Linked DNA regions of Coturnix japonica. The protein of the gene in region 2 purifies or fractionates together with the protein of the main gene of each other region. This does not show direct contact. Links are inferred from orthologs where the notes say so. Each region holds a gene or a part of one and is shown on either strand. Other genes may lie near its edges.

Evidence for each region. The genes of interacting proteins can lie anywhere in the genome.
Region 1: the proteins of STK40 (region 2) and TRIB1 purify together in Homo sapiens (affinity purification with mass spectrometry; 3 studies listed by BioGRID and IntAct, counting the BioPlex papers as one, with this or other methods). This does not show direct contact. The link is inferred for Coturnix japonica from reciprocal best matches to the Homo sapiens genes STK40 and TRIB1.

Annotation. Positions count from the first base shown.
Region 1 is NC_029517.1:125,153,479-125,158,219, reverse strand, and holds the start of TRIB1 (tribbles homolog 1), read right to left. Parts: upstream 3,025-4,741; 5' UTR 2,714-3,024; coding exon 2,357-2,713; intron 2,097-2,356; coding exon 1,804-2,096; intron 290-1,803; coding exon 1-289. UniProt on the Homo sapiens protein: Adapter protein involved in protein degradation by interacting with COP1 ubiquitin ligase. The COP1-binding motif is masked by autoinhibitory interactions with the protein kinase domain.
Region 2 is NC_029538.1:3,592,280-3,596,747, forward strand, and holds the start of STK40 (serine/threonine-protein kinase 40), read left to right. Parts: upstream 1-1,464; 5' UTR 1,465-1,559; intron 1,560-4,468. Other genes in the region: U7 snRNA-associated Sm-like protein LSm10, read left to right, coding at 345-716. UniProt on the Homo sapiens protein: May be a negative regulator of NF-kappa-B and p53-mediated gene transcription.

The DNA of each region.
Region 1 (4,741 bases), on a different chromosome or scaffold from region 2:
GAGGCATCGGGCTTTGGGGGAGACGTGGTCAGGAATACAGAACTGTCCGCGGCGGATTTTGGAAAACAGGGTGCTAGGGTCCGAGTCATGGAAGGGATAGCGGCCCACGAGCAGCGTGTACAGCATCACTCCCAAACTCCACACGTCGGCTGACTTCCCCGAGTACGTCCCCGTTGTGTTGAGGATCTCGGGGCTGACGTAGGCAGGACAGCCGTGTTTATCCGACAGCGCGTCGTCCTCGCCCTTGATGATGTGCGTGTCCTCCAGGCTCTCCAGCCTCAGCTGCGTCCTGTGGGGAGCAACAAGGAGAAGCCATGGGTTAGAGACATGTGGCAGCAAGACCAACTGCTCTGCACAGCGACCACCGCTCCCTTCCATGCATTAGCAAAGGAGAGGCGACAACTTCCTAATCTGCACCAGGGATGCTGATCCCAGCCCCAAGTGCAGCTACATGCACGCTCATTTGCTGGGCCGACAGCAAATGCTGGGCTCTCGAGGAACGCCAGCGAGGCTCCTGCTGCCATCCCAGCATTCATTTTCACAACACAAAGCCTGGCTGTTCTGCACTCTCGGCGCTCACCAGCTTGCTCAATCCCTATTTTCTCCCTTTTGCCTTTCCAGGTGGTGCCCTGCTCCCGGTAGTGGCAAACCGGGAGCTTCCCACCAGCAGCCACGGCTCACGTGCCACAGGGATGTGCTAACTGCAGCCTGTCCTCGGCGTGACCTCCCGCTGCAATGCAAAATACCCATCGGTTCTGTAAACGGAAAATGTGACTCAATGCGAACCGTGGGCCCAGGATTGGCCGCGGGAGCACTGAAACTGCACCTGTGCTGGTGAGCCCCAGCGCCCGCCTGCCATTGCTTAACCCTCTTCTTGCCAAACGCAATGCACATGACACTCGCCTGTGCAACGCCAATTTCCAAACGAGCCGGGCTGTGTGCAATGTAACATTTCAACAAATGTTTCATCTCACTAGGGGCGGGAAAAGCTGCAATAGTTTCCTTCAAAGGAATTACTTTCTTTGCATGTCAACATACGGCTGTTTCTGTTTAAGAGGTGCAGTTCTGGTTCGTCGTCTTATCACCTTCACAAACGATATCCCACAGAAGCAGTTAAAAAAGAAAACCAAACACAGCGGTTCCTTCCGTTTCGTCGCATTAAGCACGACCCCATTGCAGCCTGTGCCCATGTTTTGAGCTTCCTACAGCACAGCAGCCACTCAGGGTCAGTTCCCGGGGCTGACACCGCACTCCCAGCCCTGCCACGTGCAGCGCAGTGCACAGAGCAGCCAGCTCTCCAGGGAGACACTGAATGCTTCGCCTCGGTCTAGATTTAGAAGCTGATCCCAGCAGCGTGCCAGCAGATGGGGGAAGCTGGAACCACCTTGCCATAACTCAGGCTTTAGGTTAAGTTCTACCAGTTTTCCCCTCTGCAGGACATTTAACCATGGACCGCCCTCTGTGCCGTGCATGCCCATATCCATGGAGCAGCAGAAGCACTGCCACCAACGCGGAGATGCTGAGCAGCACCGTGCTGCCCTCATTCCCTCCACATCCCATCCCTTCATCCATTTGACCCCAAAACTCATCCATCATCACCAAGACCCAACTGACTCCCTGTGACTGCCTCACTGAACTTCTGCTGGAAGAGGGGAGGCTGATGGAGAGCTCCTCAGCCAAGACCCAACCACAGCCAGCAGGCGCCCCACTGCACACACGGGGCACAGGTCCACCCTGTTCCTGGGATGCTCTTTGCCCTTCTGAACCAGGCTTCCCCCCACCTGCCCGGTGACAGCCGCTCACCTCTCCTCGTTGGAGAAGACAAACTTCCTGAGCTTGAGGTCTCCGAGCACGATGGCCGACTGGTGGCAGTGAGCGACGGCCGCCACGATCTGTCGGAAGAGCCGGGCGGCCTCCTCCTCCCTCAGCCTCTTACAGCTCCGCACGTAGGAGTGCATGTCCCCAAAGTCCTTCTCAAAGAACACGTAGGCCTTGGTGTCCCCGAGGATCACCTCCACCACGCCGGTGATGTTGCAGTGCGAGGGCAGCTGGACGTAGGGCCGGATCTTGTCCTGGTAGTGTTTGAGAGGGAACACCTGCACAAAGGAAACGAGCACAACGTTCGTTCTCGAGGGCGTTGGGAGCGGAATCGCGTCTAGAGACTCTTTGCAAACAATGCCGGGAATGGAGGAGCGCCAGCGCGCTCGGGAGCGGCACCGGGAGCCTCCCCGCGGCTCCGCCGTTCGTTCCGCACGGACGACGGGGAGCACAAGCCAAACCGACGGAAAGCACGAACCGCCCCGAAGCCTTTCGTCCCCTCTCAGCCCCCTCCGAGCCCGCACCGCCCGGCGCTCACCTTGCAGCGGAGCTCCCGGCCGGAGCTGACGCTGAGCGCTCGGGACACCTGCTCGCGCTCGGCCAGCGGCAGCAGCAGGTACGAGGCGATGAGGCTGGGCCCCGCCGTGCCCACATTCCCCGCCGCTCCTCCGCCGGCTGCGGGCGAGACGGGCGCGCAGGGCGAGCCGGGGGCGCTCAGGCAGTCCGGGGTTCCGCCGGGACACTCGGCCAGGCGCGGGCACTTGGCGGCCGGAGCCTCCTCGGCGGGGCCGTCGTGCAGCGGCTGGAGCCGCTTGGCCGGGGCGCTGCGGCAGCGGGCTGCCGGCAGGAGGAGCGCGGCGGCGCGGCGGGGCGGCGGCGGAGCGGGGCGGCTCATGGGGGGCGCGGAGCGGAGCGGGGAGAGGAAGAAGAGGAGGAAGAGGTGATGGTGGAGGGCGAGGTGAAGGAGAAGAAGAAGCGGGGCCGGGGGCTAAGGGCGGGCGGAGCGCGGCTGGCGCATCCCCTCGCTGTCCCCGCCGCAGCCCCGGGCCGTGTCCACCATCTGCTGCCGACTCCGCGCTAAAGTAGTTGGAGGCTTTAAAAAAAAAAAAAAGCAGTTTTCTCCTCCTCCTCCCGGCCCTGACGCACGGGGAAGTGGGAGGAGGGAGCTCGGCCCGGCCCCGCTCCGCTCCGCCCCGCTGTCCGCCCGCCCCGCCGTGCCCCCGAGCTGCACCGTGCGATGCTCCCGGCCGCGCCCGTCGCTCCGGGACGACCCCGACCCCGACCCCGGTTGCGGAGTTCCGGCGGCCCCGCGCTGCTCCCACGAGCGAAAGCGAAAAGCGGAGCCCGGCTCCGTCGCCACGAGGCTCCTCGGGGCGATCAGCCCCCGTGAAACCGCGTCCCCGGCAGCCGGCGAGGGGCAGCTGTAGGGCGGGGAGCCGGAAAGCAAGAGAGAAACGGGCAGCAAAGCGAACAAGGAGCGGGGAGCCGCAGTGTTAGCGCACGGCCGGCTCTTCAGTTCACATCGGTGCCCGTTCCCAGGCGCTCGGCGCTGAGGTTTCCCCGTGCCGCTCCCGCAGGCAGCGCCCGGCGCCGCCGTCAGCGCTCAACGTGTATTTTAAGAAACGCGTGAAACCGTGCTGCTGTGTGAGTCACGGCATAGCAGAGCCATTAATGCGTTTAAACACAAAATGCATCTGCCATAAAGGGATATCCCAGGGGCTGCATTTTCCTTTCTTTGCCTTTATATATATATATATATATTTTTTTTCCTTTACCAAACAATTCGAAGAACGCCTGCAGATTTTTTCGGAGCGATTCACTGCAGCTCGGAACGCGCTGTTGTATTTTGTTCCCCTTATAGGCAAAGCACGCACGGAGCCATCAGCACTTCTGCTCCGTGTTTCCTCTCCTGGAAGGCTGCGTCCCATCAGTGACGTCCCATCAGTGATGAGTCCCATCAGTGATGTGTCCCATCAGTGACGTCCCATTAGTGATCAGTCCCATCAGTGATCAGTCCCATCTGCAGAAACGCTCATTGAGTGTCATTGTACATCAGTGGGTGCCGTTTTTTCTGCATGGAGTTGCTCAGTGACACACCTCTGCTTCACACGCACTTCCATGTCCGATTCCATTCAGCCCCTCTGCTGCCATCTGTCCCATGGCAACAACACAGAACTGAATACTGGTGGGAAGGCTCAACCACTACTGCCCCATCACCAGCATCCACCTCTGACACTGTGGGCCGTTATAAAATAGGAGGCACGACCTTCAGAGCAGCCCTCCTAAAATACACAATATTATTAATCTGTAAATAATAAAACATTTTAATATTTAATATTCCCATATCATCCATTTTGATGACATGAATAAGGTGTGATTGTGAAGCGAGGGATGTTTCTGGTAAGAGGGATTAGGAAACTCTGGCAAAGAGACATGATCAGATCTTCAGGTTCCATATTTGACTGCAGCTCCCTCATTCCACGTATGCCTCCATCTTTGTAGCACGGGACAAGGGGCTTGGTGGTCATTTCTGACCTCAGTGGTTCCGTGATGTTCATTTAAAGCCATTCGCCCTTGTCCTGTCACTACCTAAGTGTTCCCTAAGGGGACTTTGGGCATTGCCGTTCCATTCCCGTGTTACTTAAGGAATTCTTCTCCCATGGCATTCCAGCATCTGTCTTAGGTTTGGCAGTGCCCGCACTGCGAGCTCAGCTGCTCGCCCTGTGATGCGCAGTTATCTGTCTCCACTGCTCCACTTCTCTGACCCTTTATCTCTGTAACTGGAGCAGCCAGCAGCAATGGGAATTGTGTAACCATCACCCCACTTCCCCAGTGCCTGGGACAGGTCTGGTTTTCTGTCAGTGTATCCCATGGGATACGCAGAGGGACCCTGTTGGATTGGGCCATTTATAAATAAACCGGC
Region 2 (4,468 bases):
GGGGCGGGGACGAACGGGGAGGGATCAAGCGGGGCAGCGAGAAACAGGGGCCGCCCCTTCATGTTGCCGGGCGGTGAGTGGGATGGGGGCTAAAAGTGGGGTGAGGGAGCTGCGGGGGTGAGTGTGGGTTTTGGGTGGGGGTCTGAATGTGTGGGGTGGGAGTTGTGTGAGTGCATAAAGGGGGTGGGGGCACCCCTGTGTGCAAAGGGGGGGATGTGATGAGCACTGGGCGTGCAAGGGGAGGAGGCAGGCGATGGAGCTGCCATGCTGGTGTGTATATACACGAGTCCTGCAGGTGGAGGTGCTGGTGGTGCATCTCCCCATTCATATGCTGCAGCCCCACCATGGAGGTCAGCCACTCAGTCAAGGAGCGCACCATCGCCGAGAACAGCCTGGTGATCCTGCTGCAAGGTCTGCACGGCCACGTCACCACCGTGGATCTCCGCGACGAGAGCACGGCCACGGGACGAGTGTCCAACGTCGACGCCTTCATGAACATCCGCCTGGCCCAGGTGACGTTCACGGACAGACGAGGGGAGGTGTCGCAGCTGGACGAGATGTTCGTGGCGGGCAGGAACGTGCGCTACGTGCACATCCCGGATGGGGTGGACATCAGGGCCACCATCGAGCGGCAGCTGCAGGCCATCCACCGCGTGCGCTACTTCGGGGGCCGCGACAAGGGCAGGAGGGAGTTCCCTCGAGCCAAGCACAAATGAGCCCCATTCCTCAATCAACAGCCCAGCTTGGAAGCTCCATCCCTGTGTAATGGCAGCTACTCCTTTATCCCTGTCCTTATGTTTTTCCAGCTCTCAAACAAAGCCCTTTTGGCCTCAGTGCTTGGCTCTGCAGTGATCATTGCCTATAGGCTCTATAGGGCTGCCAGCTACTCCTCCATCCCTCTCTTTATGTATTTCCAGCTCTTAAAGCCCTTTTGGCCACACTGATCATTGCCTACAGGCTCTATAGGGCTGGCAGCTGCTCCTTTATCCCTCTCCTTATGGATTTCCAGCTCTTAAAGCCCTTTTGGCCTCAGTGCTCGTTGCCTATAGGCTCTATAGGGCTGTATCTATAGCTCCTGGGGCCTGGCTGCCTGCATGGGCCTGGTCTGAGGGTGGGCAGTGGGCAGTGCATGGGGTACTGCCATCATGGCGTCCATCTTAAGGCCTAGCACCACGCATGGGGGCGGTGGAGCAGTGCGCATGCGCGGGTGGGAGGGGGCGGGCCTTGAGGTGTTTCTCTTCCAATCAAAGCGCGGATAACATCCCGCCCGCCGACCAACCCGCTCACACAGCATGCACCAATCAACGGAGAGAGTTATCTCTCATCAGCCAATCAATCATCACCACTCAGCCAATTAGTGCTCGCCTCCCATCACTCTATCAACACCCCTCTCGCAGCCAATCACATCCGGGCGCTGCTTCAGCTATCCAATGAGCGCCGCCGTTCCTTCAGAAGGCGGGGCGATGACTTGGGGGCGGGGCCGGGTTGTGCGTCACTTCCGCTGTCAGGTGGCTGAGAGGAGGCCGCGCCGAGCGGCCGCTCCGGCCCCGGGGCCATGGGTGAGTGATGGGCCGGGATGGGCCGGGATGGGGCGGTGTGGGACACTATGAGAGGCCGGAGGGGGAGTAAACAACGGGTCACAGCCCTGGGTTCGGGTCTGTCCCCCTTTGGCTGCGTGTGGGGGTCTATTATCCAGCAGCAAAGCGGCCCTTAGTGCTGCCCGGCTTGTGGTGGGGCTGTGTAGGCCCAGTGTGAGGCCTATACAGCAGCATTAAAGCCCTTAGAGCTCGTTAATGCTTCGAGGAAGGGCTGCAATAATCCTCGGGGCATTAAGTGTTATCCCCTCCTGTATCCACACAGAGCTCTGTCCTATAGGCCCTTACTGAAGAGGAGGGTCACAAAGGTGATCAGGGGGCTGGAGCAGCTCCACTGTGAGGACAGGCTGAGGGAGCTGGGTTTGTTCAGCCTGGAGAAGAGAAGGTTGCAGGGTGACCTCATTGCAGCCTTTCAATACCTGAAGGGAACTTACTCCCAGGAGGGGAGTAAACTCTTGGAAAGGGCTGACAATAGCAGGACACGGGGAAATGGTTTGAAGTTAAAAGAGGGAAGATTTAGGTTGGATGTTAGGGGGAAGTTCTTCATTAGGAGAGTGGTGAGGCCCTGGAACAGGCTGCACAGGGAGGTTGTGGATGCCCCGTCCTTGGAGGTGTTCAAGGCCAGGTTGGACTTGGCCATGGGCAACCTGATCTATGGGGTCTCTATGGGGTCTCTGTGGGGATCTATGGGGTCTCCTGGGCAACCTGATCTAATAAATGTGTATGTTTGGTGGCCCTGCTAGGCAGGGGGGTTTGAACTACATGATCCTTGAGGTCCCTTCCAACCCGGGTCATTCTGTGATTCTGTGAAGGGTTCACAGCCCCTGCTGGGCTCAGCCTGTATTTAGAGCTCAATGCTGCTCTATGTCCCTGCACTGCTCTCATTGAGCCTCAAACTGTGCTGGTGTCTATTTCAATGCGAAATAACCCTGTTTGCTTACCAACGCGTGCTTCTTTCTTGTACCCGATACCATCTATCAACGTGCTTTCGTGCTGCAGACAATAGTAACGTTGGCGTGGCGGTAGGATTTACCCATATGGGTGACGTCTATGTTTCTCTCTATCTCATCCCGGGTTGATGAGTGGGGCATTGTGAGCAGCAGCCACACCTGGCTGTAAAAGTGTCAGCACGTGTGAGTCACACGCTGATGTGTGTGTATATGTGTGTATATATCTGTGTGTGAGGAAAGCCCTGCTGTGCTGTCGCTCTGCCCATAGCAACTGTAAACCAAAATAACCCCCTACAGCAACACGCCTCCCCCCCCTGCATCAGGATATGGGGCTGCACAGGGACGTGGCTGTGCTGCTGTGAAGCTGGAGCTGGTGTTTGTGTAACCCAGCAGGGAACTCCCAGCGATGAGTCCTTGGCGAGCCCTTGTGTTGATGCATCAGAAGGGTTTGGAGCAGCCCAGCCTGCTGCCAGCTCGTGGTCACGGCACTGGAATCTTGTGCTATGGAGCTCCCTGCTGGGGGCTGGGAAGGGATTTCCTCTCCTCCAGTGGGTTCTGCCCATGGAAGTGGTGTGTTCCCAGCACTGCCTGTGCTCGAGGCTCTGAGTGCTGTGAGCCCAGCTCTGTGCCTCCCTCCGAGCTCACTTGGTGCAAGGGGAAGGAGCTCACTGAGCTCCGTGTTTCCAAGAAATCAGTGACTCAGGGCTGCTGTGTGCTCTGTTGAAGGCAGCTCTTCCCAGAGAGGCTCGTGGGTTTGGTTGTACTGTCGCTTCTGAGTCATCCAGTGGACTTTTTCTTTGATTATTTGTGTTTCTGTTGCAGAACTGCTGAACTTCCTTAACTTTTGGTGTTCTTTCCGGCTCTCTACCAAACGTTGCAGTGTTGGGCTCCCAATAAACCCAAAGCTGTCCAGCAGACACCGCTGGGCTCTTATCTGCCACTGCCCCAGCACTGTCCTGTCTCCTCTCTGTCACCCCATTTCCTTCCTTGCAGAGACCAGCTCCTCGCTAGGACAGCACTGTGGCCTTTGGCATTCACCTCATAAGCCCAGACAAACCCTCTTTGTGCCCCTGTGATATAAAGCAGCAGAAAGCACCGCTGGGTTTGTGTCAGCTCTTCCAGTTCCTTCACTAGTTTCTGTGGTGCTGAGTAATCCTGCTCACACCCCAAAGGTGCTGTTTTTTCAGCTCCTGCTATTAATGCTATTATGAAGGCAGCTGGACTGCAGGACCTGCCCGTTCCTCACCCTGATGCACAGTGCAGCCTCCTCCACTTGCTTTCCTTTGTTGCTGTGCTGGGCACTGGGACGTTGCGTGGCAGTTCAGGAATTAGACAATTTCCTTAAGCTACCTAATTAAAAGACATTAGATCTGGGCCTCCACAGTTATTTGATTAACGGTTCTATTAAAGTCATGATGCAGTAGGAAGCTCTACAATTCTCCACTAAGGTTTGGATGCAGTGCTTGCACTATACCAGAACTCAGAGATGAATTCCTATGTTAGACTTGCAGCCTCATTGTCTGAACCCTATGGTGTCACAGATGGAGCGGGGGTGGCAGAGCTCAGTGTGAGCAGTTCCTGCACTGAAGGGGGTGGGGAACCACTGTGTGAGCATCCATGGACCTGCTGGGATACACTGTGTTGAGATGGATTGTACTGATGTTGAAATGGGGTTCCCTTTGCAGTGGGAAGAGCTGGGAAAGGGCACAGTGCTGCTCATCTCCGTGTTGGGATTGCTCCATCACAGCAGGATTGGTTCCTGTGCTGCCTGCTTGCTGTGTACCCATCACAAAGCACATCACCTTGCTGTGCTTTGAGCTGTGGGGCGATGGGCAGCTGGGTCCTGGTGTGCTGCTCCTTGACTTGAGGTGTCTCCACTCACAGCCTGCAGCAATCCCAAACCCAGACTTCTATGGAGCTGCT